2 linked regions of the Tribolium castaneum genome follow. The protein of the gene in region 1 binds, or shares a complex with, the protein of each later gene. Links are inferred from orthologs where the notes say so. Each region holds a gene or a part of one and is shown in the gene's direction. Other genes may lie near its edges.

Region 1 (16,607 bases):
TTTTCGATCTGCTATTTCCACTGAACTAGATTCCTTTAAACCGTTATTAAAGTTTTATGTGTCACATTTTGTTTTACGACGAAATCCCATCAAACCGGAGCGTAAAATCCCCAATTAACTGCGTAAAAAACGAATGGGTTTAAAATATTTCAACTTGTGGTTGTTAGTTTTGGACGAAGTCGGCACCAAGGACGAGAATTCCGACGAACCTACTTTGAAAACCCGAAGCCTTCCTGCTTGGGTCCGCTCGAAGCCGCGACCTCTGTCAACTGAAGATGATTTAAACGACTTGTATGCAAAGGTGGGTGTTGAGATGGCTTTACAGGATAATAAAATGCGAAATTCTCAGGTGAACTTTAGCAAGAAACGAAAAAATCGCATGCGCAACGACGAAGCGGCGATTATAGCTCTAAGCAAATCCAGAAGTCAATTTCTTCACAAGGATACAGACTCCCTAGTCGACAACGAGGCTGTCATAGTCTACGACGAACGCACAGCTTTATAAACGATTTTTTTGAGACGAAATTTATATATTTTGGACATGTTTTTATTGATATTGAACATATCGTTGTTGCAATTTAAGACTACGTCAAATGACAAATAATTGATAGATTAAGATTCGAGGGTTAAAGTATTTTTCTGTGATAAATTCTTTCTTCTCATCATTGTAACATAATTCCCTAAGACTGGTCATGCATTTCTATGTTTAGATAGGTGGGATCGTGCTGTTTTTAATACTGGTAGGTATTATATCATTCAGCACCAGTAGCTGACTAGGACACTTATTACGTAGGGCGGCTTTTACAACGCCACATTCGTAAATAGTCAATGTGAGATATAATTTTGTACATAAAATACATTAAATTATTTTATTGTGTAATTTGAATCCTGTTTCAATAAAACGCAACGTATCGATTTTTAGTCTTTTTATTGAAAACAATAGTGTCAAATGCCGGTTATATGGATAGTAAAATTTCACAGCATTTGATTAAATTTGCAGTTGTTCCAATTCCTTCAACAAGTCCGCCTCGCCCTTAATTTTCGACAATTGATTGATTTCCAAGGGCTTTCCTTGAGCTTGTTGTTCCTTCAACTTCTCAATAGCATCCAATTTCTGGAACAAATATTGGCGAAAAATCACACGTGGAAATTCCTCACCTTTTTTATATTTTTAAGTTTTTTATCCTTCTCGGGATCCCCTGTCAAATTAATTTGGACGCTACTAACAACAGGCGCTGAAACTTCCTTATTGTCTTCTCCAGCTTCAAGTTTCTTGGCTTTTTTCGCTTCGCGCTTCTTCTTCTGCTTTAGAGACGCTTTTGACTGAGAGTCTGCCCCCGGCTTGTGGGATTGTTCCTCATCATCGTCTAAGTTGAAACGTATTGTTGGACGGTTGCGCGCAGAAGGGGGCCGATAGGCCTGTTTCGAAGCCACCGGCTGGCTGGGGGCTATACCCTCAATTTTTTCCGACGTTATAACCGGGTCTTTGAACGCGTATTTGGGAAATTTCTACAAAATCAAGGTGAAACAAGCGTTTACGACCACCGTCTCTTATACCTTCCAACACACTTCATACAACTCTTCCTGGGGACCTGAATTTTTTTCGTGCAAAAGCGCCCCCGAATAGTGCCATATTTTATACCCATTTCCAATTCGCAGTCTGGGGGACGTTGTCGCCGTCAGGAAGTGGATGCCGTCCGGAGACCACTCCAAAAGCGTCGAGTCCGGCGCCTCACAATTTCCTAAAGCATTGTTAAATTAAATTTAAATAAAATATCTGGCACAAACCTATCAGTTTCCTCGCCGCCACGTCCCACACCTCCACATGTCCCCTCAAATTCCCAAAACCGCCCAAAAGCACAAGATTTCCCTGGGGATTATAGTAGAGTGCGTTCCTTGGCCCGGTGCCAAATTCGAAAACCGGTTCACACTTCAAATTAAAAATTGTGGCTTTGGCTGGTACAAAGCCGTAAACGACACAAAATTCGTGATTTTTTGGCGACCAAGCCACGCTGTAAATTGGCCCTTCCTTGCTCATTGTAACCATGGCTGTTTGCCCGTTCAAGCCCATAAAATGGAGGCCTTGCTTGCCATAGTAGGAACCGCCGGTTTTGTCCACTTCTGTCGTTGTTAAAAGGAGGGCGTTGTTGCCTTTAGAATTCCAGTAAAATTCGACTTTATCAGCTTGGAAGAAGCTTTTGCTAGCGATTGATTGCATTGCGTCAAAGTTTGGATATTTAAACAGTCTTAAAAGAAAGTCTCAGTCATTTTCCCCTACAGTGCGAGGAATAGTTACTTTCCAAATGACGGCTGACCTGAGGCTCCAGGCACGTGGCAAAGAATGAAATACGTCCCAACGTTTGGAGATAAACTGAACGCCGCGATTTTGTGGCAATTTATTCGCGCCACAATTTTCTCAAAGTTGAGATCCTCGTAAAACACAACGTCGGTGTTTGAAATTCTGCTAAATAACTTCTCATCAGCGCTCCACTGAGGCTCCCTAGCAAGTCATTGTTACCTGTTCTACAAACTTTAGTAAATATTTACCAATTGCCTTGCTTCTTGTGAACAAAACTTTTGACAAGTTCACCAGTCTCGCTTTTGTAAATGTTTAAGTTTGGCTTTCCTTGTGGGTCGTCTTTAGTGACGTAAAACTGTTCCCAACTCATCAAATATGTACTTTTGGGGGAAAATGATAAGTAACAGGCTTTTGTACCTTGAATTGTTGCAACTTCGTTCCAATCCTCCGTACGCACAATTTTCAGGCTGCGATTTAACGAATTAATAATAAATCAAAGGTGAAAATCCTGTACTAACTTAGACCCGTCCACGAAAGCAAAATATTGCCCGTCAGGGCTAAACAACATGGTCTTGCAAGTCTTGCTCTGAACGGGGCCATATTGCCCCAAGTCGGTGAAGACAGGTGGGCCCACGTTCAACGTGATGCCACTCGAACTGCGAGCTAAATATTTGTGTTATCGCAGTCGCAGATTACGATTTTTTTAAGTTTTACCTGCAAATGGGATTGCTGAAGCCATGATGAGGTTACGTCCAACACGTGTTAGAAACACATTTCTAGCAAAAAGTAAGATAGAGTTGTAAAAAGTAATCAAATAAACAAGGTGGAGGACACGTTATTTGCCATTTTTCATTGAAAATTAAAGAAATTATGGCAAAAGAAAAATTTCTGTCATTGACGAATTGTCAAAAACCCCACCAGCCACTTGCTCTACCACACGTTGATCTACGAATTTTATTCAAATTGTTATAATATCGTTATACAAATTATTAGGTTTAATTTTGTAATCGTCTAAAAGTAGTATTAAAATTTGTAATAATAAATTATAACAGATAATGTAATTTTTAGAAGTAGTCCTAAAGTAAACTAGAGTAGTTCAAGTGATTTTCTAATTTTGACGTTTGAAGACCAATTTTCACATCAATCTATTTATTTATAAATTCCGGCCACCGGCGAGTATCGTCTTATCAACCGGTCAAAGCAGTGACGTGTTGACTTCCAAGACCAAAATTTTCCAAAGAGACTTGTTAAGATTTTTGGCACAAAAGGTAAAATTTCTGAACTGCACCGGCACGGTATTGCTTAAATCATCTTCAGATGGGCACCTTGACCGAAATTTCCTCAAACAAGATGTTTGGAGGCTTCCAGAAGGTGTTTTCCCACGAGTCCAAGTCCTTAGGCTGTGTCAGTAAATTTGGTGTTTATCTGCCGCCTCAAGCAGAGGGGAAGAAGCTCCCTGTTATTTATTGGTTGTCAGGACTGACCTGTTCAGAGGCCAATTTTATCGAAAAGTCAGGAGCACAGCGATACGCCGCTGAACATGGAGTCATTATTGTAAATCCTGACACCTCACCTAGGAACTTGAACATTGCTGGTGATTCAGAGTCTTGGGATTTTGGGGTCGGGGCCGGATTTTACGTCGATGCTACGCAGAAACCATGGAAAGACAACTACAAGATGTATAGCTACGTTACTAATGAGTTGGTGAAGATTATTAGTGATAATTTTCCAATTTTGAGTGGGAAACAGTCAATAATGGGGCACAGGTGCGTAATGAACACTTCGTTTCCGTAAAAATAACGGAAATGGTTTTAGTATGGGGGGACATGGGGCGTTAATTTGCGCTTTGAAAAACCCAGGGATGTATAAATCAGTCTCCGCTTTTGCCCCGATTTGTAACCCATCTAACTGTCCTTGGGGCATTAAGGCATTTAGTGGGTATTTGGGGCCCAAAGAGTCGGGCGAATGGGCGCAGTGGGACGCCACTGAGCTAGTCAAGACTTACAATGGCCCCCCATTGGAGCTTTTTGTAGATCAGGTAATAATTATATTTTAGAAGTAATGGTTGTACATTAATTTTTTTAGGGGTCTGAAGACAATTTCTTGCATGCCAAGCAACTGTTACCTGAAAATTTGATAGAAGCTTGCAAAACCCACCACGTCCCGGTTGTTTACAAAAAACGAGATGGGTATAATCACAGCTATTATTACATTGCTTCTTTCATAGAAGAGCACATTAAATACCACATGGAGCACTTGCTGAAGTAAGGGTTGGTAATAAAAACGCTGATTTTTAATAAATAATAATTATATACATTTTATTACAAAGTTTATAATAAATACTGGGAGTAGTTATTTTATGGAGCCCCTAAATTCGTGCCAGTAGTGGAGAATAGGTTCTCTTTTCGCCCACAAATATTGGTTGCCCCACAAAGCCCACATTCTGTAAAACAAAGCTAGGAAAAAACTTTAGCAATGAATTAATTTATTACATTCCACAAGCTGCTCCTCCTAAATGTGCAGCATGGTCGAAAAATTTCCAACCCATCAATACTCCAGCTGTGTCAATGCCCACGATTACTTTAATTGCCTATAAAAATAAATTTTAGAGGCAAATAATAACGAAATTTGCTGACATACAGCGCCTGCACTAAATGTAAAAATTGGCAGTAGAATAATCCCTAATTTGGTTTCAGGATATTGGGTGCAAACATACCCCAAAATCGCCATAATAGCCCCTGACTAAAATAAAATTTAACTTAAATTTTGATTTAAATGCTGGGAAAGTATATTTACAGCTCCTAGCGACAAGCCTGGTTGTTTGGTAATAACTTTGTAGACATAACTGGTAAAACTCGAAATAACTCCTGCACCCAAGTACAGTCCTAGGAACTGTTCTTTACCCAGACTGTGTACTGCACCTGAATATTTGAAGTTGGCAAAAATGTGGAGCCAAAGTAATATTTTACCTGTGCTAAAGCTGTGAAGTACGTACATATTAGCCAAGAGATGGAACCCTGAGTAATGGCTAAAAGTCGACAAAATCATGGGCCAGCACACACTTTTGCTTCCCGGGTTTGAACAAAAATATTTCAACATGAAGGGCTGCAACCTCGGAATCCTCCACGCGCCGAACACGAGCACGTTTATCAGACAAATAGGCACAAAAACCTTCTCACCAGGCGTCAAAAGCTTCCACTTTTCCTCAATTTGCCTCAATAAAGTATGCTAAAAACGCACAAGGTGAATCCAATTACGTCAATTTGGATATTTACAGATCTAGAATGGAATTCATCTGCTTGACGCTTAAACAGTCTTACTGGTTTTTTCAGCATTTTAATCGCATGTGCCCTCATGTTCTCATACTCCCATATCGCTGCGCCTACAAAGCAAGCGGCACTAAACTAAAATCAAACGTTTTGTAATTCTTCTCGTTCTGTTCTTTGTTACCCCAATCGTAAATCCGAAAGGCTTCCACAAATTGCGTGGGTGTAAACTGGAGCCTCCTAAACTGACGTCTTGGAACGGAGTTTCAATACTGCTAACGTTGGGCTTGGGGGGCTCATTGTTGCGGCGGCGGAAATTACGTACGGACTTCGGGGGCGAATTTTTCATTAAAAGCGTACTTCGAGAGGTGCTACATTCTGGGGGTTAATAGTGGGAAAGTTGGGTTAGGTCTCACCATAACTCGCCCAGCCGAAGCATGCGGCTCAGAGCCATAATCCTGGCAATAACTATGCTCTATTTTAACGGAAAAACCATGAAATTTTGCGAAAAATTAACGCAAGTTGTGAAATTGTGTTGTCGAATAAACTAAATGGTGGGGACAGGAGTGTGCGTTATGTTGGTGTCTCTGACAGAAAATATTACTCGTTAATTTTTAATTAACTTGAGTCGCTGTTTTAGATAAGGTCACGATAAGGAATAGATTTTAATTAAAGCTGATTGGTTGCGATCGTATCGCTTAAAATGTGGAAAAATGGGCAAATTCGGAAATTCGTTTCGAAATAATGGTTTATTTGGTGTTGGAGTGATGGCAGTCTTGTGACATTTTGTTGACATTTGCGAGTTACCGCTCTTTTGTGTTTGCGCAAAGTGCGCAAAATAACGTCTCGATCTGGCGCCTTCTCTTCATGTAACGCCGCTGCGTTGTTGTGTGGTGTTAAATGTGTAAATATCGCATGTAACAATCGACAATGGCAAACATAAATTTGGACAAAGAAACTTTTCACCGCCGCTTAAAGAAGTTGTACAGTGCTTGGCAAAAATCGGAGAGCGAGAATGGTTTCTCTAAGATGGATGCTTTGGTTACAGCCGTCGGTGTGGACGACGAAGTGGTTTACAGTAAGTCGGGGGCCCTCCAGACCTGGCTTTTGGGCTACGAACTGACCGACACCATCATGGTCCTGACCGAGAAGAAAGCCCACTTCCTGGCCAGTAAGAAAAAAATTGATTTTCTGAGACAAGCCGAAACTAAGGACGAGAATTCGATTCAGTTGTCTCTGCATGTGCGAGACCGCACGAGCGACGAGGCCAATTTCAAGCTCCTCATTGACGCGATCAAAGAGAGCAAGAACGGGAAAACAATCGGGGTTTTCTCCAAAGACAACTACCCGGGCGCTTTCATGGACGCCTGGCGCGCGGCTTTGTCCAAAGTTAGCTTCCAGACAGTTGATGTGAGCGCGGCTATTGCCTATTTGCTATCGCCAAAGGAAGATTCAGAAATCATAACAATTAAAAAAGCCTGCATGGTGAGTGTCGATGTGTTTACCAAGTATCTCAAAGACCAGATAATGGAGATAATTGACTCCGATCGCAAAGTCAAGCACAGCAAACTGGCGGAAGGCGTGGAGTCTGCAATCGCCGACAAAAAATACGTTTCGGGCGTCGATGTTTCTCAGGTTGATATGTGCTATCCTGCCATAATCCAGTCAGGGGGCAACTACAGCCTAAAATTCAGTGTAGTGAGTGACAAGAACACTCTACACTTTGGGGCCATCATATGCTCGCTGGGCGCCCGGTACAAGTCCTACTGTTCAAACATTGTCCGCACGTTGCTTGTGAACCCAAACGAACAAGTACAAAACAATTATAATTTCCTCGTTACCCTTGAAGAAGAGGTTTTGAAAAAATTGCAAGCCGGGACAAAGCTTTCAGAGGTATACGAAGCCGGTTACAACTTTGTTAAGAAAGAAAAGCCTGAACTGGCGGATAATCTGACCAAAAATTTCGGTTTCGCAACGGGGATTGAATTCAAAGAGAGCTCGCTTATGATCGGCCCAAAAACAACTCTCCCGGCGAAAAAGGGAATGGTCTTCAACGTCAACATGGGTTTTAGCAACCTGGAGAACAAAGATGCGACCGATAAAGAGGGCAAAACGTACGCGCTGTTTATTGGCGACACTGTGATGGTGAATGAAGGCCAACCGGCCTCGGTCCTCACCATGTCCAAGAAGAAAATCAAAAATATCGGGATCTTTCTCAAGGATGAGTCCGATGATGAGGATAACGACGATGAGAAAGAAAATGCCCCAAAACCTGAAATACTAGGGAGGGGCAAACGCACCGCCGTTTTGGAGTCCAAACTTAGAACCGAACATACGTCTGAAGAGAAACGAAAAGAGCATCAGAAGGAATTGGCTTCGATGCTGAACGAGAAAGCAAAGGAACGGCTTGCTAAACAATCGGGATCGAAGGATGTTGAAAAAGTTAGGAAAAGCACAGTGTCGTATAAAAATGTCAATCAAATGCCCCGTGTGCCTGAAGTCAAAGAACTGAAACTCTACGTGGATCAGAAATATGAAACTGTCATTTTGCCGATTTATGGAATTGCAGTGCCGTTCCATATCTCCACCATTAAGAATATATCGCAGTCGGTCGAAGGCGATTACACGTACCTTCGGATCAACTTTTTCCATCCCGGATCCACCATGGGCAGGACCGATGGTAAGAAAATAAACGTAACTGATTAGTTACGTTTATTTAAAAAAAATCTGAGGATTTTAATTGAAATATGTCATTGAAAAATGCCCGCGGTATGTTTTATTTAATTTATGCATTGTGTATCAAGTTGGGAAAGTTCATAATGCACCATTACGTATCTGTTTAAATATTTAAGTAAATTTGTATCAAATTTATGGTCATTATTTAAGCTTCTGCATCACCTGAAATTATGGTTTTCCAAATAAAAATTACAAGTTTAATGTTTTTAAACGAAATGTGTAATATCTTTAGTTCTTTGCTGTAACTTGTAATTCTGTTTGCAAGTTAAACTTTTATTGGTCGATTCTTTGACGATTTAAAAGTTTAATACACCAAAATTTAACATTTTTTGAGTTGCAGTCGAGAAGTCGCGATTAATTATGACGAATTTTTAATCAGATATTTTACACATCTGACTGTACCTCCTCTATTTTTTTGTAATTTTTCACTTTAATTTGATCTAAATTATTTGTGGAATTCAAGGAAAGTACTGTAAAAATATTATCAAAAATTTGAATAAATCGAATTAAGATGCAAACATTTTGCGTTATGTTGTCACACGATGTGACGCTGGTATTTACCGTAAAAAATTATTCCTTTTTAAGAATATTGGTCCATTTTTTGTGGCGTTATTCACAATCACTGTACGTCGTAATAATACAGTGCCGAAGTCCTGCCACTATATTTATAAATAGTGCCATAAAAACGAACAATTTTTCGATAAATCCTTTCATCGTCTCATCTTATCATCAGTTAATTGTACATATTTGAAAAATTACACTTTTGCACTTTTTCAAAAACGAATAAGAATGATTTAAAAAGTATTTGTTATGAAAGGGTGTCTTAGCTGAGATGACGCCACAGTTTGTATCTATGAATTTTCATTTTAACTGTGGTTGTTTATTACTTCAAGGTGGCAACTACCAGCAGCCTGAAGCCACTTTCGTCAAAGAAGTTACCTACCGCAGTTTGAACACCAAAGAGCCCGGAGAAATTTCCCCTCCCTCTTCGAACCTAAACACTGCATTCCGACTAATCAAGGAAGTACAACGAAAATTCAAAACCCGCGAAGCGGAAGAACGCGAAAAAGAAGATCTTGTTAAACAAGACACGCTGGTCTTGTCGCAGAACAAGGGCAATCCCAAGCTTAAAGATCTTTACATACGACCTAATATCGTCACAAAGCGTATGACCGGCGCTTTGGAAGCTCACAGTAACGGTTTCCGGTACACTTCAGTCAGAGGCGACAAAGTTGATATTTTATACAATAATATTAAGAATGCATTCTTTCAACCTTGCGACGGTGAAATGATCATACTTTTGCATTTTCACCTGAAGCATGCGATCATGTTCGGGAAAAAGAAGCACGTGGACGTGCAGTTTTACACGGAAGTAGGTGAAATCACGACTGATTTAGGCAAACACCAGCATATGCATGATAGGGATGATTTGGCTGCTGAGCAGTCTGAGAGGGAGTTGAGGCACAAGCTGAAGACGGCGTTCAAGAGCTTTTGCGAAAAGGTGGGTTCATAAGCTGATTGTTTGTGTTTTTATTTGTGTGTTTCGTATTTTTAGGTCGAAGCGATGACAAAACAAGAAATCGAGTTCGATACGCCGTTCCGGGAGCTCGGCTTTCCCGGAGCCCCCTACAGGTCCACAGTATTACTCCAGCCGACGTCGGGTTGCCTCGTCAATTTAACCGAATGGCCCCCGTTCGTAATTACGCTCGAAGACGTCGAATTAGTCCACTTCGAAAGAGTCCAATTCCATTTGAAAAACTTCGATATGATTTTCGTCTTCAAGGACTACCAACGCAAAACCGCAATGGTGAACGCCATCCCGATGAATATGCTGGACCATGTCAAAGAATGGCTCAACTCTTGCGACATCCGCTACTCCGAAGGTGTCCAGTCGTTAAACTGGGTCAAAATCATGAAAACAATCACCGATGATCCCGAGGGATTTTTCGAAAGCGGCGGATGGACGTTCCTGGACCCGGAATCGGACGAAGAAGCCCAGGCCCAAGAGGAGGAAACGGAGGACGAGGACGAAGTTTACGAACCGACCGACATGGAAAGCGTGTCGGAAGAAAGCGAGGAAGATTCCGAATACTCTGAAGGCGACACTGAGGAGAGTGACGAAAGCGCTTCCGGGGAGGACGATCTAGGATCTGATGAAGAATCCGGGAAGGACTGGTCCGACCTGGAGCGGGAAGCAGCCGAGGAGGACCGGGAACGCAATTTCGACGATACTTTCGACCGGAAAAAGTCGCATCACAAGTCGAGCAAACCCAGCAAACACTCGTCGAGTAAAAGCAACCACAAAGGCTCGCCGAGCAAACATTCAAACAACCATCATTCCTCAAGTAGCAAACATTCGAGTTCGAAACATAGCAGCAGAGATAGTGATAGGCGTAAATCTTCTTCAAGTTCGAAATCGAAATCTTCACCCTCGAAAGACAAGGACCGCCATCACAGAAGCTCGCATTCGGATTCGAAAAAGCGCAGTCGGGAGGAGAGCAGCGATAAACACAAGTCCAAGAAGTCGAAGAAGTAATTCGAGGAAGTTGTTTTTACCGTTGTATTTGTATAAGTTATTTTTATGTTAGAGATTTGTGTTTCAAGTTCTGTGTTTCGTTCAGGCTAAGTTCTTTCCACTGAATGTACAGATTAAACTTTTGATATAAACCGTGGTTTAATTTGCACGGAATTCTTAGTTTTCGTGTATTACATTTTATGAAGTTATTGCAAAACATGTAATAAATTTGAAAAGACCAAATGCTGTTGCTTGATGACAAACTGACGGCGTTTTACGGCTGTAAATTTGGCAAGAAATTGGAATTTTTGGGGAGAGGTAAGTGGGTATATTTACAACAGAGAGGACTTTTGGTCTACTTAAGTTGTATGAGTGAGTTATCCCGCGGTGTAAGTACAAAAAAAAAATTATTATCTATTTTTTGCTCAAAGTACTAAAACAAAAAGCAAATAAACAAGATGTATATTCAGGCGTGAATAAAACAGAAAATATTGAGTATTGCTACCCATAACTGCAAATATCAGTCGTCAAACAAATAAAACTCCAAAATAAATACGTTAACAATATCAGTAAAATATCGCGATGCTAATTAAGTACACAACACTGGTGTGAAAATTGCTACAACCCAAATATCTTTCCCTCCACTGCCTTCACTTCGTCCAACAAAGTCGATTGCGGATTGATTTTGACCCCTTGTCTCTTCAAATCTTGCAACCGCTGCTCAAGCAGATCTTTATTTCGTCCATTCTGCCACCAAATTGTGATACAAGCATTCAATAAAGGTACATACAACTCCAACAAATCACTATCACTAACCCCCTCATATCTATGTAGGGCTAAATCAGCCCATTTTTGGCATTGTGAACACTCGGGAATTGACATGCAGCACCCTAACAGTCTACATAAAGCGATAAGCACGACCGGCGACCGATCAGTATAAAATTTGTTTAGTAGTTTAAAATTGTTTTCAAGCAGCGGCAAAGCGGACGAAAAGTCCCGTTTTTCCAAAAACGTCCGTGCTTTCTCCACTTCAACGCCTTGAAGGAACTCGACTAAAGCCTTAGACGCTCGCAGTTTAGATTCGGTGCAAATGTGCCTCAACAGGGACTCAAAGCCCGTGCTTCTGGTGGAAATCAGCTCATTATCAAAGTTTCCTATTATCACTTTTTTGGGAAATGTAACATTGGTCATTAAGTTCGGGTGTTCCTTCTTTAGGGCGCTGTAAAGGTTCAGGAAGTGCGTGTATCGCCGCTCCACCACCGAAGGGCTCAAATCGTCGTTTCCTGAAATGTGACGCACTTGCAGCGTGTACACTACATGTTTCCTTTCCTCGCCTTCGTCACATATTCGCGCTGACAGTATTTCGAAAACTAGTCCCTGCTTTTCGTTGCCTGAAACCAAACGTAGGAAATGACAAAATAAGCGATTTGGTCACCTAAGATTTGGGTCATATTTGAGATGTTTTGTTCACATAATTACGCCCCCACGCAGTCAATATTGCCCTTATCCCCACCTACAAGTACTTTTATACACCTTTGTGTACACATTTTGCAGATAACAACAAAAGGTAGATAAAAAACGTCACTGTCACTTGTCAATAATTAACCTAAACGTCAGTAGTGACGTCACGCCCGCTGCGATGCGCGAATTACTGGCACAAAAATGATTTGTTAACACCCCTGAACTGAAGTAAATTATGAATTTGTGATAATTGTATCCCTAGTCAAGTAAACCAAATTGTTATTAAAGGTAAGGGGGTGAGTTCGCCTTTCGGAGTTACATAACCTAAGATGTTGACAGATGTCAAAATTTGTCTCGAATGTCAGTATGCTGGACATTGATAAAATCGAGGATTATGACCCAACGGTTGGGGACACCCTGGTTCTGGAGGACATTTACCAGATAAATTGGAAGGAGTTTGCATGCGGTTGGAGCGCTGCATTTATTAACATTACAATAACCTATCCGATAAACAAAGTGATTTTTCGACAGGTTATTGCGCTAATTTTCCCACAAATTGGGGCTTAAACGGCTAGTTTCAGATGTTGCATGGCGTTAACGCGTTAAGTGCGTTTCGCCAGCTGCAGAAAGAAGGAATGTTTTATTTATATCGGGGCATGCTGCCCCCTTTGTGCCAAAAGACGCTCTCGATGTCGCTAATGTTTGGGATTTACGAGGAGGTGCGGCGCCCGCTTATGCTGTCGGGCTTTAATGGGTATTTGTCGAAGTTTGCCGGGGGCATGGTTGCGGGAACCACCGAGGCGATCTTGATGCCGTTTGAGCGGATACAGACGCTGCTTGCGGACGCACATTACCACAAGGAGTTCAGGAACACGCTGCATGCATTTAAAGTTGTAGGACTCAACCACGGGTTTCGGGAGTACTACCGGGGTTTGGTCCCGGTTTTGCTCCGAAATGGGCCCTCCAATGTGGGCTTTTTTGTCATCAGGGATGAAGTACAATACTACAGACCTAGGTTTAATTCAAAGTTTTACGAAACTCTTAGCGAATTTTTTTGTGGTGCTATGATAGGTGTGTTTTTGTCCAGCGTGTTTTATCCACTTAATGTTCTCAAAGTTGCGATGCAGAGCAAGATTGGGGGCGGCTATGAGAATATTTTTAAGGTTTTAGTACAAATTTATAACGAAAGAGGTAGGAAAATTAGGTATATTTATCACGGAGTTCAGACCAACTGTACGAGAGCATTTATCAGCTGGGGAGTGATGAATGCGGCTTATGAGAATTTAAAAAGTATTGTATCGTAAGTGTTGTTCAATTTGTGTGATGTTTCATGTAACTACAACTCATAAGATCACCTGTTTCGTTAAGCAAAGTATTTTTTTAAAACTGCTATTTATTTATACAATAAAGATTTTTGTTGAACACTGTGTTTCTTTTACCTTTACCTTCACTTACTCAAAGCATTTCAAAGAACGTAATAAAAAAAAACAAATAAAGAAATTTTTAGCAAAAGTAAAATGCTGCTTTATTTCTGTACCCTAGGATAAAAGTGTACTAAGTTCAAACTTACGAATACGGAATAAAGTGAATTGAAAATTTAAAAAATATTTTTTTTCATCACAACTGGGGAGTTGTCAAAAAAATCTGCACTTAATTATTCAAAAACATAAAGAAGTTTTCTTGGAAGTTCTTATTCAGAAAAAAATTATAATAGTTTGGTTTCCTTTTTGGTTTTTCGAAAATAATATCTAATAAAAAATAAAAGTTTGTTGATATTAATTGATTTTAAACATAGTCAACTTTCTACCAATTGCTCCAAGTTTGAGCATTTTTCTAAAACTGTCTCTAACTTTATTTTTTACTTTCTTTACTTTACATACTTAATTTTTTGTTGAAATTGTGTAAACAACTCACGTTTGGGAGATACTATACTACATATTAATGAGTTCCTATAAATAAAGGTATGTATATAGTTGTCAGCTTTTCGACAAATAAAGGGCTTTGATCCTCCTGCCTCTTTATAAGTCGCTATGTTAAAATTAAGACAAGGTAAGTTAGATCAAAAATTAAAATTTATTTATTTGGAGAAAAAACATACGTAAACGCCTGTAGTTATATTTTATTCCATCGGAAATTGTTTATTTTAAATGAACCATATAAAAAAACTTGTAATGAAGCGTAGAATTCTTTGAGTAATTTAATAGGTATCAGGTATCAGAAAATAATACTTGTTAAAGTAATAAATAGTAGTTATTTCGTGTTCACCAATATTCTTTTTATATAAGTATCTGCTTATGTTTAAACTTTCGTTATTTTTTACTTCATTTTCAAATCCAGTTTTGAGCATGCAAAGATTTGAAATTTGCATTGGTATAAATGTTTTTTTAACTCGTTTTTTTCTTGTTAGAAGGTTTTCTAAATCCAACCACCTCTTAAATAAGTATTTACCAGGGACTATGGTGTCTTTCCCCTATTGTAGTTCCAAGTTGATATTTCACTAGTGGTTAAGATTTAAACTTCTTAAATTGGTTTTAGTAGATAAATTTTATTGCGACATTTATTTTGAGCCAGGCTTTATGTTGGATTAGTCTTAGACCCTTAAGGACGACTAAATTCTTCCCCTTGTTTTAAATACCGTTTGTAAATAACAAAGGACAAGAGCAAAACTGATTTAGTTTAAGTAGATGTAAGTTAAATGTTTGTATTAAATATGGATTAATTTGTTCATTTGTACATTAACACAATAACATGAAATCATTTCCGTGGGCGATCGCCATTAGTTTTATCAGTTCTTTGTAGCAAACGACTCTGTGAAAAACACATTAATTAAAATGCCATTTTCGAAGTTTGCTGTCAGTGCAAATACAGTGAGCATATAATTATACAGCCGAGATAGCTATCGCCATCACCACATCTAAAAATGGTGACATTTTATAATTATATTTGTTTGTAAGTTGTGTAATTTAACCGCAGACAAATTAAGATACAAAACTGATAAGACAAATTGTCTGTTTTATATCCTGTACATTTGACGGAACCACATTTAGGTAATTGTTAACGGATAATTATTATCTATTAAAACGTGAGCTTCAACGTGACAATAATTTTATGGTTGTGATTCCTCGAGAGTCGCTCAGAAACTCAAATTTGTTTCTCATGCTCGAAATTTCCATTTTTGGGCAAAATAATGACGTCAACACGAAAAAATATACGTGAGATCAATTGATTGTTCTTTAATAGCTCCCCATACGTTGAGATACAGGGTCCACCTGCTTTCGGTAATTTTTATTTGTGGGGTCTAGCGCGTATCCATGAGGGGAATGGTTGGATAATTGATATATAATTTAGAGTCTCTGGAGTTTTAGGCAATAATAGTTATTATCTAAATGCTTATGTTTGCATGATCCTGCCCTTTTATTACCTTCGGTTCGTTATTATTGTTTCAATTTTACTAAAAACTCGGAGCTTTTATTTAATTGGTTCTTTTCGTGTTGCGAAGCAGTCAATTTGCAAATCCTCTCGTGGATATTTTACCTCGGCTTTATTGCCCTCAGATTACAAGTAGCAAGACGATGTGATACCGACAATAATTTCTCAATTACTTACCGCAGCAGTGGCGCAACAAATCTGGGCCTTAGGGAGTACACACTTTTATATTACTACTTATTTAAAACGGACTGAATTTTATATTATAATGATCATTTGGTCTAATAATAAAAGCAATTATTGTCGTTGACAAACGTAGTCGTGTGCTTTTAAACTCTAAATTTGCGAACTTACCTAGATCTAATTACAGCTTGAAGCGAGTATTAGTTCCGAGACGTTAACTGGCGTCGCTCAATGTTCGGCTGCTTGTATTTTTATAGCGCCTTCTTGAAATTGTTCCCTGAATGCCCCTTAACGTTAATTTGATTTTTTCCTTTATTTTACGGAATCAAGAAGTGTGTTGTAAGCTTATTTAGGTTATAAAAGACCACATCCCTGTTGATTGGGCAATAAACTTAATGAAATGGAGACAAAAAGGGGTTTATTTAAATGAAAAACAAGGCTTATTCCTAATTGGCTTTAAAAGAGGGGCATTTATGTCGAAAATTAAGAAAAAATTACCGCCTTAAAAGTAATTAAATCAGTTTTTATTCGAAACTAATTTGTTGTCATCATGAATAAAGCTCTCACGATTTTTGTGTTATGTGGAATAAATTTAACGTGGAAGGCACTTTGAGGCCATTAAAAATCGCAGGCAATATACTTGTAAATTGCAGTTTATTACGGTTAAGTGCCGGCGTATTAACAACAAAAACTCGGTGAGCTTTCAAGCTATTAATACCAC
Region 2 (16,607 bases), on another chromosome or scaffold:
GATAAACTGAATTCTCCCCGCTTCCACACAAATATTGGGCGCTAGAGGGTAGCACTGCGTTGGGCTGGGGTTCGAATCCAGACTAGCTCGTTTCGGATATGGTGGAGGACTCCCATCATTGGAGGCCAACTCCATGATGGACTTGTCGTAAGCCAAAAAATGGGCTTTGTCCTCGCAAACCGGATGAACTTGACGGACTGAAGGACGACTTGGCTTGTCCTTGTCCAATTCAAGTGTGTTTGTATCGGCGCCGGGAATTCGAGAGACGTTGGCAGACCTGTAACGAGATAAAAAGGGGGTTTACTGACGGGAAAATTGCGTAATTGGGAGGCGAGGAGCAGGTGTTCGAGGCGGTTGCATTGTTGAGGATTTGTAAAAAGTTGAATGGAATTAACGAGGACAGATGGAGAGGATTTGTCGCCGCGTTTTATAGACTGCAAGGATTTATAAACGAGAAGGATTTATAAACTCGATATTTAATTCCTGGCTTGAGTCGGAAATAAAGTAAAAATCAACACGAAGCGTTCAAGGAGACGCAGTTCTCGAACCAAATGTTCCTTTTCAATGCGGTAAAGTGTGCTTTTTCACACTCTCTTACCTTCAATCTCTTTAATTTAAAATTATTTGGGAAAAATTTAAAAGCTTCGCCTTGCTCTTTAATTGGTAAAAAATGTAGAAACAAAATTTGTCCTTTAATTCTTCAAACTAATAAATACAACTGCAATGTAAAATGTATGCGAATTTTGCGTAGTCTCGTTTCTCCGTATCGCATCACGAGCGATCGATTAGTTCTTTCACCGTTTTAAATATGTCAAATGGTTGGTAACGGCCGTTTTAATTATTTTCTTCTTGTACGCTAGCTAACGGAACATTGTAATAAAAAAGTGAAGATATAATTTTTTCAGTCCAATAATTAAACTGATTTGAAATCAAAGTTCCGCAACACATAATCCGCACCACCGTCTGTTGCACATTTGGTAAAATTTTTGGTCAAGCAGCTGAAGTATGTCGCTACTTGGGTATATTTAACGTAATATGCGTAATATGCTGCGGAATGCAGGCTGGAAATAGCCAGGGAGACGTTGATTGATGCCGAGGTGGATGGAACAGGTGCCTTTTGTAACGTGCAAACGGACGATGAACTTTTTCCCGGCTTTAGCAAAAAATATTTACTGTAGCAACGTCCAACCCTTTTTTAAAGAAAAAAATTGCCAAATTCTTCTTAGAATTCTCAAAATTGAAAAAGGGGAACACGTTTTAATGTGTTCCTAAGCACAATTAATTTTTCTATCATCATTTTATTTTTTTTTTGGAACCAAAAAAAAGCTTTGATCATAGAATCGTAATTAAATTTGCGCTATCGTAACACTTTTCTATTTTTTTATTTTTTTTTAAATTAAAAGTTTTTGAAATAAAAAATATTTTGAAAAACTAAGGTACGGCGCCGAATTTTCATTTCTTGCTGATCACAAATGTATTTTATTTTCAAAATTTGATAACGGGAAAGTTATCAGAAAGCAAATTTTGTAAAATCTTCTGGTCTGCTTTAATCATCTTATGGTTGGGCAGTGAGGAAGGCACTGCTTGGAAGCAGCTGTGTACGTGTTAGCCACCAGCAAGATATTTTCAGTGATATAGAAAAAATTCAATTTCAAGTAACCAACAAAAAAAATTGTGGTCTCGTTATTTGGACAGAGATGGGAAAAGCGGTCTCCCGATATTAATAAACATTATAAAAAGTCCTTAGTACATACATTAGATTTTGTATCTTTTGGATAAAAATTTAACCCCAATCTCGAAGTCATTTAGTAAAAGATTGATTTTGTCTGTCTTTTACACATTTTCCTTCAGATGCTACGCAAAATTTTTAGAACTATGGATTTTTTTCTGTAATTCTATGCACCCGAATTTTTTTCTACAATTCCTTATAGTAATTATTATCAATGAACAGAAAATATTAATAGTTGTATTAATAAAATTAAAAATATGAAAACATTAATTAACCAAACTGTCGTTCTAAAACAACCGATGCTTAAATGAAGTCTTGTGCAAAAAAATTTGAAAGAAATTCACGTACAAGTACCTATATACAAAAAAAATTAAACATTTAATAGCAAACGCTGAATTCTGGATTATTATACGAGTGGTTTCTATTTGTTTCGTCGATTTGTTCAGTCCATTTCAGTTTTTTTGTTAACTTTTTTTGTAATGGAAAGCAGGTGTACTTGTGCTTCCCTTAGAGTTCCAACATCTTCCGAGAGAATCTTTTGTATTTCTGAGAATTTAATTGCACAAAAATACGAATTTAGCGTTATTTGACATTTGCTGTCTGCTCAGCTTTCTCAATCTCCATTATTAGAAATCTTCATTACAAATTGATTTTTTACCGAAAATAATCAAATTAAATTTTAATCTATTGTTTTCCAAAGTAAAAACTAGATTTTGACGTATTCTAGACTTTTGATCGTTTATCCATTTTTCCAGTTTTGAGCAATGAAAAAAGAACACATAAAAGTTACATAAAAAAGTAACAATAAAACATTACTTCAAAAAGAAAAAACATCACTGAAGCTTGATGCATCAAAAATTCAGTTCATAGAATTAATACAATTCTGTCTATAAATACCAGCAGATACAGGAACATCATTTTTCACATCTTCCAGTCTTAGTTGATCGAGGTTTATTTTGCCCTCTCTTCCTCTCACCCCGCACTTGACTATGGGAGACTTTCGGCGGTAAAAATTGTCAAAGTAAAATGAAAATTCGCGTTTCGTTCAAAACTAATAATATTTTTTCTAGTTTCTTTGGTCGCATTCTATTCGTATCATCGCAGTGCATCTTCCCCAACACGATTTTGAAATATTATAAATATTTCTTTAAAATTTTAACGAAAAGTGTCAAATAATGTTTTCCCCAAATTGGCGCAAATTCTAATTGTTTAAAAAACTCAATTTCAAATTCTAAATATCAGTGTTAAAAGCTGGATGTTGACCATGGTTGTGCCCATGCAAGGCCACCTCCGATCAATATATCTCCCCAGCGTGAGCTAACCGAGGAAAAGTCGTCTGTAATTTGAGTAATTCGAGAAATTATACGTTCGTGTCAGCTGCCGGCGTAGAGGAGGCATTTTTCAGGCAACAATTGAATCCCAAAGGCGGGCAATTACCGGTAAGGCTCTCTTCTCTAGCTCAAGTGCAAGTTCAACCAACTTTGCTTATTTTAGTCTTTCCTAATTGCTTCAAATAAAAATAGTCAAACATTTTGATAATTAATTAGTAGTCCCGCCGCCGCGCCGGTGCGCTGATAAGCCGGATATCGTCATCCTGTCTGATGAAACTTTGGCATAGTGTCAAAAGCTCTTTGGAAAAAATTCACTCGATGACTCACGACAGGACTGGGCTTCAAAGGGGGCACAGCATGCCTGATTAGATCACAATATAGTGATGATGACGTGGTGCAAATTGCACTGAAAAGGGGGATTCGGAGAGGCACGTTTTTCACGAAGAGAAAATTACACCTGACCGTCATGATGATGATGATGCGTGAGAGTTTCCCACAGGAAGGAGAAAACTTAATTAGAGACTCAAACTGAGGCGGCTCCAATTTACAATTTCAATTTACAACTTGGATTCTTCTCTGGACGAAACCTGATTTTGATGAAACGGTGTTTATTCAGCTACGGGCTACACTACATATTTTATTCCAGGGGGAGAGAAATGACGTGGTTCGAATGATTCATTGGCCAAAGACATGAATGCCATTTGCATAATAAAATAAGAGACGTGGAAGAGTTGACTTAAACGCGATAAATCTCAATCTATTGGCTATGCAAGTAATTGAAACGGAAGAACAGGCCCGGACTGGCCATTCGGGCCTTTTTCAAAAGATTTTTACAACTGACTGTTTTTTTACAGAATAAAATAAATAAAAAAAATTTTTTCCTTGCTTTTGTGTATCCAGCGAGCATAAAACGCGACAGCCCAATCCCGTTACTTGTTTCCCCAACTGAGACCCATCTTGAGTCCATTTGTTTAATTTTTGTGCTTTCTCTGCCGCTTATGCAAGAATCGGTCCATTGATTCATGTTCATGTAGGAGCAGCTAAAGATACACCAGTGGTAATAAATCGTTTTGCGTGTTCGCGGCAAATACTGGATCACAAGCCGCCAAGCCCGTGTTTTTAACACACACAACACTGGTAGGCGGCTTAGACACCTACGGAATTTCATTCAAAAGTAAATCATGTGGCGCACTTTTTCGAATCACGCTGTATTGTTTAGAGATGGGGATTTATCACCACATCCACCGTCGAAAGGTCGGTAATTGCGCTTTGTTAGCGTGAATTGTAACGCATCGTTAAACTCCACCTGTCGATGGGTCAACAAATACAATGCGAAGACGATTTATCGCACAATATTTTCATTTTTATTGGAGATTCTTCAATAAACTCGAATCTTTACAAACAAATTCTTTCTTTTTCATTAGACTGTATTTTTTATTTAAATTTGAAAGCAAAAACGTCGGCAAAAAATTTTATACAGTGTGTTCCGTCTAAACCCCACATCAGAAGTATGGAAGGTTCTAATAAAGATATTTATTTGAAAGTTGGTACTCAGCCATAATCCGTTGAGTTCCGCTCGATGAAAATATTTTCAAGATGGTGGCACGTCCGGTTATACCGGAAATCGCTCTCAGTTTTCTTATTTTAAATGGAAAGCTATATTTTTCACTGCGTTTTTGGATTAGTTGAGTTATTTTAAGGCCGTTTTTATGAGCTTTCCCTATACCTAAGTTTAACCGTTTTCGAGCTATTTAAGATTTTTTGAAAATTTTTGGATTTGCACCTGTCACTTAAAAAATCAGTAACTCTCTTATTTTCCGAGATTTCGAAATCATATTTGGAGAATTCAAAGAGAAAGCCTATATCTGTTCTCCAGTGTGTTCAAAATTGGAAAAGAAGTTAATAAACCCAAAAATTTCAAGGTTAAGTTTGGACAACTTCAAGTACCCATAACTTATTTTTTTTTCATATGAGATGTCCTAATTTTTATTTTACTGGATGGAAGAGAATTTTTTTCTGCATCGATTTGTATTAGCATTCCCTATACCTATCTGTGATAATTTTCAAGTTATGTTGGCTTTTTTGACATTGTAGAAAATTTCTTACTAACCACAGCTATTTTTGCATAGTTGGCCATAAAAACATTTCTGATTAAACAAACGATAAACTCTGTCCAAAATTGTGTTGTCCGTCCTGTGAAAACAACATAAATTCATTGACTAAATTTAAAATAAAAAGTCAGTTGAGGGATAACTTTTTTGCAGCTTGGTGAAGATGCTGAAATTTCGGGCCACCAAGCAAGTTATTTTGTGCAGTATTACGGAGAGACATCTTTTCTAATTTTAACCTCTGGTAACCTAAATTACGTTCCGCTTGCCACACGCACTCAATCCCAAAAATGGCGTAACATGTGTATAGAAATCCGAATAAAGCGCACACATAATTAGTTCGATTCGTGTCAACCGTCAATGAAAGTTGTAAAAAGATAATAGGTTGACGCAACATCTCCAACAATCAATTATCAACGCTTGATAAAAATTAACAACAGGTGAACGAAAACGGAGCACCTGTCCGCGGATGTAATCAATTCGAGATGGAGTTCAAGTAACACGTGCCCATCCGAGCGTTCATTTAGCTCGGTTTTTTCCCTGTTTATTGATTTTCACACGCAAAGAGAGTACTACAAAAGAGCAAAGTGTTTGCTTAGTGCGGTAAGCCATATGGCTTAGGTGACGAAAACGGAAATAACAAAAACACAGACACTAAATTTAGGTGGAAGAGGAACAGCTGGCGACTGAGTGAGTTTGGTGGCCGGCCACTCAATCGGCCCGATTTGACGCCAATTGACTTAATCCGAAATTATGCAAAGCGGGCCAACAGATGCACCAAAACAGTTATTTGGCCAAAAACATCTGCCGTGACATTAGGATTGGGCTTGAATGTGTTTTTCTCACATACATAGATTCAAAATCGAGTAGGTTGTTGAATCGCCCACTTTGGGTTTATCGAAACCAAGCCCACTCGATAATGGGACAGTGTCTGACCTTATTATCGCGACACGAATGCACTTTCAAACTTTACCTGAATGACAAATGGGAAAATTTCGCTACCGATAGCTAAATATTTACAACCTTGGACCTGCGAGTAAATAACGAACGAAAATATTTACGGGTTCGACGGTGGTTTGTGTGTTCTGGCGACAATGTTTACACGGGATTTTGGTGTTTTAATTTCGTCTTGGAAAAAAATTGTATTGGCGACAGAGTTAAACCAAGTGTGCGACAAAAACAAGTATTTTTTGAAAAAAAAATTAATTAACATTTTTTTGTTAAAATTTTGAAGAAATATTTACAATATTAAAAAAAAACGTGTAGGGGAAAGATGCACTGTGATGATACGAATAGAATGCGACCAAAGAAACTAGGAAAATTATTATTAGTTTTGAAAAAAACGCGAATTTTCATTTTACTTTGACAATTTTTACCGCCGAAAGTCTCCCATAGTCAAGAGCGGGGTGAGAGGAAGAGAGGGCAAAATAAACCTCGATCAACTAAGACTGGAAGATGTGAAAAATGATGTTTCTGTATCTGATGGTATTCATGGACAGAATTATCGTATTAATTCTTTGAACTGAATTTTTGATCCATCAAGCATCAGTGATGTTTTTTTCTTTTTAAAGTAATGTTTTCTTGTTATTTTTTTATGTAATTTTTATGTGTTCCTTTTTCATTGCTCAAAAATGGAAAAATGGATAAACGATCAAAAGTCTAGAATACGTCAAAATCTACTTTTTACTTTGGAAAACAATAGGTTAAAATTTAATTTGATTATTTTCGGTAAAAAATCAATTTGTAATGAAGATTTCTAATAATGGAGATTGAGAAAGCTGAGCAGACAGCAAATGTCAAATAACGCTAAATTCGTATTTTTGTGCAATTAAATTCTCAGAAATACAAAAGATTCTCTCGGAAGATGTTGAAACTCTAAGGGAAGCCCAAGTACACCTGCTTTCCATTACAAAAAAAGTTAACAAAAAAACTGAAATGGACTGAACAAATCGACGAAACAAATAGAAACCACTCGTATAATAATCCAGAATTCAGCGTTTGCTATTAAATGTTTAATTTTTTTTTGTATGTAGGTACTTGTACGTGAATTTCTTTCAAATTTTTTTGTACAAAACATCATTTAAGCATCGTTTGTTTTAGAACGACAGTTTGGTTAATTAATGTTTTCATATTTTTAATTTTATTAATACAACTATTAATATTTTCCATTCATTGATAATAATTACTATAAGGAATTGTAGAAAAAAAATCGGGTGCACAGAGATACAGAAAAAAATACATAGTTTTAAAAATTTTGCATAGCATCTCAAGGGAAATGTGTAAAAGACAGACAAAACCAATCCTTTACTAAATGACTTCGAGATATTGGGGTTAAATTTTTATCTAAGAAATACAAAATCTAATGTAGGTACTAAGGACTTTTTATAATGTTTATTAATATCGGGAGACCGCTTTTCCCAAAACGTAAAATACAGGCAAATGCTTCTCTTTCCAAATAACGAGACCACAATTTTTTGTTACTTGAAATTGAATTTTTTCTATATCACTGAAAATATCTTGCTGGTGGCTAACATGTACACAGCTGCTTCCAAGCAGTGCCATCCTCACTGCCCAACCATAAGATAATTAAGAAAGGACTAAAGATTTTACAAAATTCGCATTTCCCAGTTATCGGATTTTTCAAATTATTTTTAAAAATTTTGATTTTTTTTTCAAAAATAAATCAAAAAAAAATTACGTTGGCACAAATTTAATTAGGATTCTATGATCAAAAATAAATAAAGTGTCCACTAATTTATATTAAAATATTGGAGAATATTAGAAAGTGTCGTATTTTTTGCGCAATCCCGTCAAACGCTCATAAATATTCATCGTCGCTAATTATCAAAGCGTTCGACTTTCCCATGATGTGCGATTTTTGGGCGAAAGTGCATTCTCCCAGAATTTGATTTTGTTCAAGTGGGTCGCTGCAATCATTGTTCGTTCTATCTATAGCCCCATTTCCGCATGGCATTGCGATAATTTCGTTGACACACATCCCGCTTTTATGAGCATAATAAAAGGAAAATTCGGATTTAGCGCCACATTAAACTTGGAAATGTTAAAATGGTAAATATCCGAGTTTTTCAACAGCGGCTTGGAAATAGAACATCCCCGATAAAACACGAAATTCAAGACGCATTCCTCAGGAGCGGTGTTTTTGAAATGTACTCCACATGTGAGGCATAAATAGAACGCGGAGAGAGACATTAATTCATGATAATTATCAGCGCCGCACATAACTAGAGCCTCAGTTTTATATTTTATGGAAAAGCTACAAGGTATTCCCGTCACAACTTTACGAAGAGAAGTTTAAAAGATTTAATATATGTATTTGAACGAAAAAAACACAGCACGTAAACATCTCTTGTAAACATCTTTAATTTCCTGTTTTGCTCCAACAGTTTGGAAGATTTAAGTAGATATTGCCCGAATTTCTGTAGTAGTTTTTACCCAGAAAATCACAAATCGAAAAAGCACAAATGTCTCTTTTTGTGATAAAATAAAGAAAATATCTCTTGTTTCATTTTCTTTTTTTTTTCTTCTTTTATTTACTCTTCTATTTATTTTTCTGTTTATTTATCATTTTTTTTGACAATTTTGGAAATTTCTTTACATTTCGATTAGATTTCCTTAGTTTCACATTCAACCGTTTGATTTAGTTTATTTTGGGTCGCGGATGTTTCGGCTAAAACTTGGGCCGGAAGTTGCACAAGTATGGAAAATATCCACTTTCCTCCCTTTGTTTCGCGCACCAGGAAGCCATACTTCAGCCATCATTCCATTTTATGTCAACTGTGTGTAAATGATGCAATACGGCCCACGCGTCGAAAGTGAAAGATTTTTCCAGTCAGGTGTTTGAGGAGTAAAGAGGTCATTTCGCGTTGAAAATAGCTCGTTTTACTTTTGCTTCTTGGCCCACGTCCATTGAATTCCCCTTTAGTGACTCAAATCACAATGAGCCGCTCCTCTAATGAGCAAAACTTCCGGTTTTTTGACTGGTTTTGGGCGCGTAGAGGTTTGTTCCCTCGATTAGGCTTGATTTGGGGCAAAAAACCCGAAAAACCAATTTCCATACCCGGTATGGATTTTGAGTTTTTTGCTTTTTTCGGTGACTAGGTGATGATTAATCAAAGTTTTTTCGCGTTTGTGAGAAGTGGAGGCGTCACGCTGTCTGGCAACGAGAGTCGAGTTCAGCGACCTACACTCTGTATATCCACTTTCCAAGTTATTGCATTTACAATTGTGGGCCACGCAATGCGTCGGAAAAAGTCGGAATTTTCTAGGGCTATTTGGAGATATCCGGGACTTCGCAGTTGGCACAATATGCCGGATGTGTTCAACGTGACCTTCGGCATTGTTTTGATAAAAATAAAACAGCGAAATTTGAATAAGATAATGAGAGACAATGATGGGAATGGTGGGATCTAGTGACCCAGGTCTTACTTCTGGTTCATTTGAATTTTTACAGAGATTTAGTCACGTTTTCAGCGTTCGGGAAGATCATATCACGACTTTAATATTAATTTTGGGAAATTACACGTTCGGGCTTTTCATTAATTTTATTAGGTTTGTAAACTTAGAGAATAAACAAAATACCATCACGCTTTCAATTGAATCCCTGATCAAAGTTTGTAATAAACTGGAAAAGTTTTAATTTTTCCCCATCAGATTCATTGTGTTTAGTCTTCCACTTTTATGTGTAAGTTAATCCTCAACGCAATAAAACGAACATTTGAGACAACTGTACTTAAACTCCTTTCTCTTGTAGCAAGCAGTCTTGCAGGGGTGGCAACTGTTGCATAAAAAATCAAATAAATATTCATTCTCCGTTTAACCACTACCATTATTGTATTACAATTGGTTCAGAAATTATATAGTCGATGGTAAAATAACAAAAGAGTTGACTTGTTGGAGCGCTTTCGAGTGGAACGTTTGTACGAAACCATGAAAATATTTTTTACCCTCTGTCTCGTCTTTCTTGCAACTCGTGATGCGTAAAAAGTGTCGAATTTCAGACAGACAAACGGTTTCTGGCCCTAGAGCAGTAACCCACTATTTACGGTCCCAAAAGCAACATAACAGTATGGAAAATGAAAAATATGGACCATTCACCGTTGCCATGGCAACACTCAAAAAAATCAAAAGTTTCCAGATATTCCTGCTCAGAAAAACATAAATTCCTTAAAAAGTAAGCCAATAAACCACAGAATTGTGTAAAAAATTATTTTATTTTTGCAAGTTCTGAGGATTTAAACACGTTTTTAGACCAAAAATTAAGTTTTTTTCTATGTTTTTATTAAACTAGAACGAAAAAATCACAAAATTTGGGTCGAAAATGACCGAAAATTTTCTAAGCGTTTATTCAGTAAAAATTCAATTCCTGCGCAAATTTTCTTAAAAGATAAGCCAATAAAACAAAGAATAAAGTCAAAAAATGACATTATTTTTGCAAGTTCTGAAGATTTTAGACTAAAAGTCAAGTTTTAAATCAACTATCATAAATCATAAAATTCATAAAAATAAGGTAGATACAGGGTGTTGTCTGTCAAACAGTCAAGGCCAACTTAATACAAGGTGTCAAAGTGTCAAAGCCAACTGTCACACAAACGCACAAAACAATGCGAAAATGGAATAAATCCCCAACAAAATCAGGTCAAGTCTTGCATTTATGATTAATTAAATTTTAACAAAAGTCGATTTTATTCAATGAGCTATTTTTAGCAACATTCACATTCTTCACGCCATGACCCCCAATATTTACTTTCTTTGTATCTCATAAATTTCATCCTACTTTATTTAAAGACTCCCACTGAGCCACCCTTTGGACTCATCCAATATACTCATACTTTCGACGAATTAGCTATAATTCAGCAAATATCTTATCACTTTATCAATTTATCGTTTCCTCTAACCCGAATTTCCTGGATTTTTTTCCTCAAAAACGTAAAAATTAGCTAGGAAAAAGAGTGGTATATAGGTTTTTGGTGGAGATTGAGGTTAGTTTGCCCGGATCGATAAGATATCAACAGTGGAACAGCTGAGCATCGCGGAGGGGATTGCCAGGCTACCGGGATCAATAACAATAATAAACCAAACAATTGCAAAACGGAAAAACGGCCTACTTTTCATCCACATGCATAAAAGATTTGGCAAAAATTTACAAACGCGCCTTCTCCTCGTGGTCTATTTTTACAGAGGTGTTAAAAAGCGTCAAGGTCGCCATTTCTCAAAATATCTCACCTTTTGGGTTTCCAACGTCGCTTTAAGACGCCCAGCATTTTCCAAACTACATACAAGACGAGCAAATGGAAGAGGAGAATTTTTCAGGTCACAAAACAGCACTCGTTGCCATTCGCGCGTTTTGTTTTTTTCTTACATAGCGAATGAAAACGTTCGTAAAACTGAAACGCGCTGAATTTTTTTTTCAGCAACTCGCGTTATTACGAGACACTTTACACGACCACTGCACTCGTCGAGTGCCTCTCCTGAAATCAAGATGCTGATGCTCAAAATAAACAAGTTGGGGTCATATGACCGGAATGGCGGCACCGGATTGGCGGATCCGGTGAATGCCGGGCTTTGACAGCCAACTCCGGTATTGCTGTCATTGACGGAAGGAAAAAAGTCATCAACCTGCGATTTTGCCCATTCAAAGCGGAGAAAGGAGTTTTTTAATAATTATTTAAAATATCGTCGTTTTTTATATATTTTTCGGTCCACGCACCTACCATTTTATAAATATTTGAGCACCCATGATTTTATTGATTTGGTTTAATAGAATTTCCAAAAAAAAATCCAAAACCGCGTCAACATTTACGATAATTTCCAAACTTTCAGATAAAAGCGACCACAAATAACTTTTTCTTCATTTTGACTGTTTGTGGTTTCCAGTCGGATTATTTGCGACCACAAGAGCATTTTTTATGTCAAGTGACATTATTATTGAAACTGAATACGCTTTATGCAAAGTAACTCAAGTCGGGCAGAATTTTATTACACCTCATAAATTTAAAAAGTTGTATTTTGGTTTCAGAATGAAAAGAACTAATTTTTGGTTGTGGGCAAAAATAAAACAAAATAAATTTAGCCCTCTCGTTTATTTGTTTATTACAATGAATACTAAGTAATTTACATTTGTAATTACAATAAAATAACAATTTTGAATTTGTAATTTTTTTTAATTGCGTAACGCTGCCAACTTATTTCTAGTGGTTTCGCGGGCTTGTTGTGGCAGCCTGACTTCAAGGCCGAAGTTGCGTCAAATGGCGGCATAACCTGTAAAAAAAATCCAAACAAAAAGAAACACCACAAAAAATACTTGAGCTAAGTTTTTGTGTTTTTATATTGTTTTTTTCGTAAATTAAACCAAACTTTGAGTGAATTTTCCCCAAGATGGATTTCCTGGAATATTCGGACATCTCTGCCGAAGTCAAAGGCTGCATGGTACGTTAGCCCCCATTCCCCCAATTCCCCCTCAATTTCCTCGTTTCAGACCGGCGGTAAACTCAAAATGACCGACCAAAACATCATTTTCAAAAACTCGAAGACGGGCAAAGTCGAGTCAATTTCGGCGTCCGATTTCGAGGCAGTCAATTTCCAGAACTTTGCCGGTTCGTTGGGGATCCGCGTGTTCCTCAAGAACGGCACTTTGCACCGATTTGTCGGGTTTAAGGACGCGGAAAAGGAACGTATCGCCAAATTCTTCTCGAACACTTACAAAATCGACATGCTGGAGAAGGAGTTGAGTCTCAAGGGCTGGAACTGGGGCACAGCCAAGTTCAACGGCTCGGTTTTGAGCTTCGAGGTGGGACATAACAGCGCTTTCGAGATTCCGCTCAATCATGTGTCTCAATGTACGGCGGGGAAGAATGAAATCACGATGGAGTTTCATCAGGTGGGAAGGGGGCGCTTATTTTTATTTCAAACTTTTTACTTTTACCAAGGTTTTAAACACGTTTCTCAGCTTTTTTCTTAAAATTTCGTTAAAACATAACAAAATCACCAAATTGTTTTTAACTGTTACGTTCGAAATTACACGTTTTTTGTTAGAAATCAAACTTTTTTCCCCGTTTTCTGGCCGTTTTGTCAAAAACTAATCGATTTTAGAATGATGACGCCCCTGTAAGCCTCATGGAAATGCGATTTTTCATTCCTTCAAACGAATTAGCCGGAGACGTGGACCCAGTTGAAGCCTTCCAAAAACAAGTCATGAAGAAGGCTTCGGTTATCAGTGTCTCAGGCGACGCTATTGCGATATTTCGGGAGATTCAGTGTCTCACACCACGGTTGGTTTGAAAAACCACAAATAAATTTCCCTAAGAATTTTTTTCTAGTGGTCGTTACGATATTAAAATTTTCCAAACGTTTTTCCAATTGCATGGAAAAACATTCGATTATAAAATCCCAATGTCGACAGTCTTGCGTTTGTTTCTCCTTCCACACAAAGACAACCGGCAGATGTTTTTCGTAGTGAGTCTTGATCCACCCATCAAACAGGGCCAAACCAGGTATCATTTTTTGGTCTTGTTATTTGGTCAAGAAGAGGAGACTTCGATCGAATTACCCTTTACCGAGTAATTAATTAATTAATTATTAGGCCAAAATTTTTTCCTAATTAATAATTCCAGTGAGGAACTCAAGGACAAGTATGAGGGCAAGCTGGATAAGGAGTTATCAGGCCCCACTTACGAGGTCTTAGGCAAAGTCATGAAGGTTATAATTAATCGAAAACTGACCGGCCCGGGGGGCTTTGTCGGGCATTCAGGGACCCCAGCTATCGGCTGTTCGTTCAAGGCAGCCGCTGGTTACTTGTACCCCCTTGAACGGGGCTTCATGTACGTCCACAAGCCCCCAATTCACATTCGTTTCGAGGAAGTGGCTTCTGTGAATTTCGCCCGAGGTGGGGGAAGTACCCGTTCGTTTGATTTCGAAATTGAGCTCAAATCCGGGACTGTCCACACCTTTAGCAGCATTGAGAAGGAAGAATACAACAAATTGTTTGATTTCATTACCACCAAGAAACTGAATATCAAAAATCGGGGCAAAAACGTAACAATTTCACTCGTTTTGGTTTGGTTTAATTTGATTGGTTCTTTCAGGATAAAGGGGGCTATAATGACGATTTTGGCGATTCGGATAATGAGGCGGCCCCTGATGCCTACTTGGAGAGGGTTAAGGCCGAGGCACAAGAACGTGATGAAGATGATGACGATGGTCCAAGTGAAGATGAGAGTACTGATGAAGATTTCAAGCCAACTCAGGATGAGAGTGACGTTGCTGAAGAGTTTGATTCAAGTCCGAGCTCAACGTCGTCCGAAGACGAAGAGAAAGGTTCCGGTGATGAACATAAGAAGAAGCACAAAAAAGAGAAGAAGGAGAAGAAAGAAAAGAAGAAACCGGCTAAGACAGTGTCGGAGAAACCGCGCCAAAAGCGGGCCAAGAAATCAAAGGACGAAAATAAACCGAAAAGACCATCGACGGCGTTCATGCTATGGTTAAATGAGATGAGGGATAAAATCAAGGCAGATAATCCCGGGATTAAAATCACCGAAATTGCAAAGAAAGGTGGAGAGATGTGGAAGGAATTGAAGGATAAGTCTGAGTGGGAGGGGAAAGCGGCCAAAGCCAAAGAGGAGTACAACAAGGCCATGAAGGAGTATGAAGCTTCAGGGGGTTCAAAATCGGAAGATAAAAAGTCAAGTGAGAAAAAAGCACCAGCAAAGAAGAAAACCTCTTCTATGCCTTCCGTCAAACCCAGTCAAGTCAAAAGTCGGGAATTTATCGAAGACGACGACTCGAGTAGCGACAGTGATGATGATAAAGGCAAGAAAAGGAAGGGTTCCGATAGCGAACGCGGAAAACCCAAAGACAAGAAAAAGAAGAATAAATCCGAAAGCGAGGAGAGCACACCCGCGTCAAGTGACGCCAATTCCGATAGCGATTAAGTTTCTATTTAATAAATATGTTTAACAAACACCCGGCTTTATTTATTACATAACCTTAATCTTACATAACCTTAATTTCGCAAAAAACGCTATAATCGGCGCAAATTACATTGAATCGCCCTTTGATGCTTACTGTGCATGTGGGGGCCCCTTGCTTGTTTTAATTCGAGATATAAATGGGAAACAGCACGTTATTTACCATTATTTTTGTGACATAACCTCGCTTTAATAACAGCGATGTATTTCACGAAAATGGCTCTGAATCGCTACTTGCTCCACTTTTCGTACATCGGGACCCCTTTCATGTATTTGCTTGCTTCAGTCACGGTCGCGGCTCTTTCATGTTTTTTTTAGGGGGGCTCAGAGGCAAGTCACCGGTCGAATGCCCCGGCCCGATGACCCCTCCACGGTCCAAGGGCAGCTCGAAATGGCTTTGAAACGACTGAACCCGACTAACGACCCTGTCGTGTATTTGTCTAGCAGGTAAAAAATTGTGTAAATTGAACCACGTGCAAGGTGTGGTTTTAGGACCGATTCGGGGGTCCACGCTTTAAATTCCACGTGCCATGTTGATCTGTACCGCTCGAATGAGCTCGAGTATGAACCCAAAACTATAACAATCTGTCTCAATCGATACTTTGACAAAAATGAAGTCCCCATTCGTGTAATTAAGACGTATTGGGTCCCCCCGGATTTCCACTGTCGACATACTGCAATCTCGCGGACTTATCTCTACCGAATTGCGATCGCAAAGACTGGAGTAACGGAACATGCGACCATTCTCAATTTATTACCAATTGAAGAATACCAGCGTTGTTTATTCTTTTAGTAAGGCATTTTTTGGGTGAAGGCGGCTAAATAACGCAAAATTGTAGCTGTGATTCCTTCAATATTGACGAAATGAAAGAGGCGGCTAAAGTGTTTGAAGGACTGCATGATTTTCGGACTTTTATGGGGCGCGGGTCGCACGACCCCGACAAAATCACTCGGCGAGTTGTTACCAGGGTTGATGTTTGCGATGGGAGGGCTCTAACTTATAGTTCCTTTAGTTGGCCCCGATTTGCGTCAGGTTCCGCTGAGAATTACCAGTTTTACGATATTTATGTCCAAGCGACTGGTTTTCTTTACCGCCAGGTGGGTACGACTCGAATTGCGCGCGGTTTGTGGCCCAGACCGGCAACTTGGCCGCTTTGAATGATTTCGTGTAATTGTGTTTTTGCGGCTGTTTGGACGCAAAAGGTGGGTTGGATTGGGGCTGTGTTAGGGCTTGCGGTGTTGCGGGGTGGCGGTTGGTTTTAATTGTGGTGTTTGCGTGTTTGTGAAAATTGATGATGTCATGGTTGGGTTGGTAGTGCTGCGTCACTCTAGAATTTTCGTAATTTCCGTGCAGACTTTGATCTCGTTCCTTTTTGGTGTGAAAAAAGTGGTTAAAACGTTTGAAATTTGGTCGAAAAAGTAGCGAGGCGTTGGATCTAGTCAAGTAAATATCGTT

Evidence for each region.
Region 2: dre4 (region 1) and Ssrp share a complex: the UniProt entries of both Drosophila melanogaster proteins name them as parts of the FACT complex. The link is inferred for Tribolium castaneum from reciprocal best matches to the Drosophila melanogaster genes dre4 and Ssrp.

The regions. Positions count from the first base shown.
Region 1 is NC_087398.1:7,045,950-7,062,556, reverse strand, and holds dre4 (FACT complex subunit spt16), read left to right. Parts: upstream 1-6,320; 5' UTR 6,321-6,495; coding exon 6,496-8,245; intron 8,246-9,194; coding exon 9,195-9,802; intron 9,803-9,856; coding exon 9,857-10,837; 3' UTR 10,838-10,968; downstream 10,969-16,607. Other genes in the region: uncharacterized protein LOC660988, read left to right, coding at 168-301, 350-505; eIF2A (eukaryotic translation initiation factor 2A), read right to left, coding at 989-1,114, 1,159-1,509, 1,558-1,742, 1,789-2,246, 2,297-2,500, 2,548-2,766, 2,818-2,962, 3,014-3,038; S-formylglutathione hydrolase, read left to right, coding at 3,617-4,065, 4,115-4,337, 4,385-4,567; rho-7 (presenilins-associated rhomboid-like protein, mitochondrial), read right to left, coding at 4,652-4,742, 4,792-4,889, 4,940-5,041, 5,096-5,220, 5,269-5,527, 5,575-5,703, 5,750-5,936, 5,982-6,019; Snx21 (sorting nexin-21), read right to left, coding at 11,435-12,207, 12,252-12,267; mitochondrial nicotinamide adenine dinucleotide transporter SLC25A51, read left to right, coding at 12,617-12,808, 12,859-13,581. UniProt on the Drosophila melanogaster protein: Component of the FACT complex, a general chromatin factor that acts to reorganize nucleosomes. The FACT complex is involved in multiple processes that require DNA as a template such as mRNA elongation, DNA replication and DNA repair.
Region 2 is NC_087395.1:25,955,804-25,972,410, reverse strand, and holds Ssrp (FACT complex subunit Ssrp1), read left to right. Parts: upstream 1-12,403; 5' UTR 12,404-12,563; coding exon 12,564-12,614; intron 12,615-12,663; coding exon 12,664-13,065; intron 13,066-13,277; coding exon 13,278-13,456; intron 13,457-13,504; coding exon 13,505-13,744; intron 13,745-13,798; coding exon 13,799-14,219; intron 14,220-14,269; coding exon 14,270-15,115; 3' UTR 15,116-15,144; downstream 15,145-16,607. Other genes in the region: uncharacterized protein LOC661743, read right to left, coding at 1-277, 11,412-11,449; tRNA pseudouridine synthase-like 1, read left to right, coding at 15,353-15,420, 15,470-15,598, 15,644-15,943, 15,991-16,249. UniProt on the Drosophila melanogaster protein: Component of the FACT complex, a general chromatin factor that acts to reorganize nucleosomes. The FACT complex is involved in multiple processes that require DNA as a template such as mRNA elongation, DNA replication and DNA repair.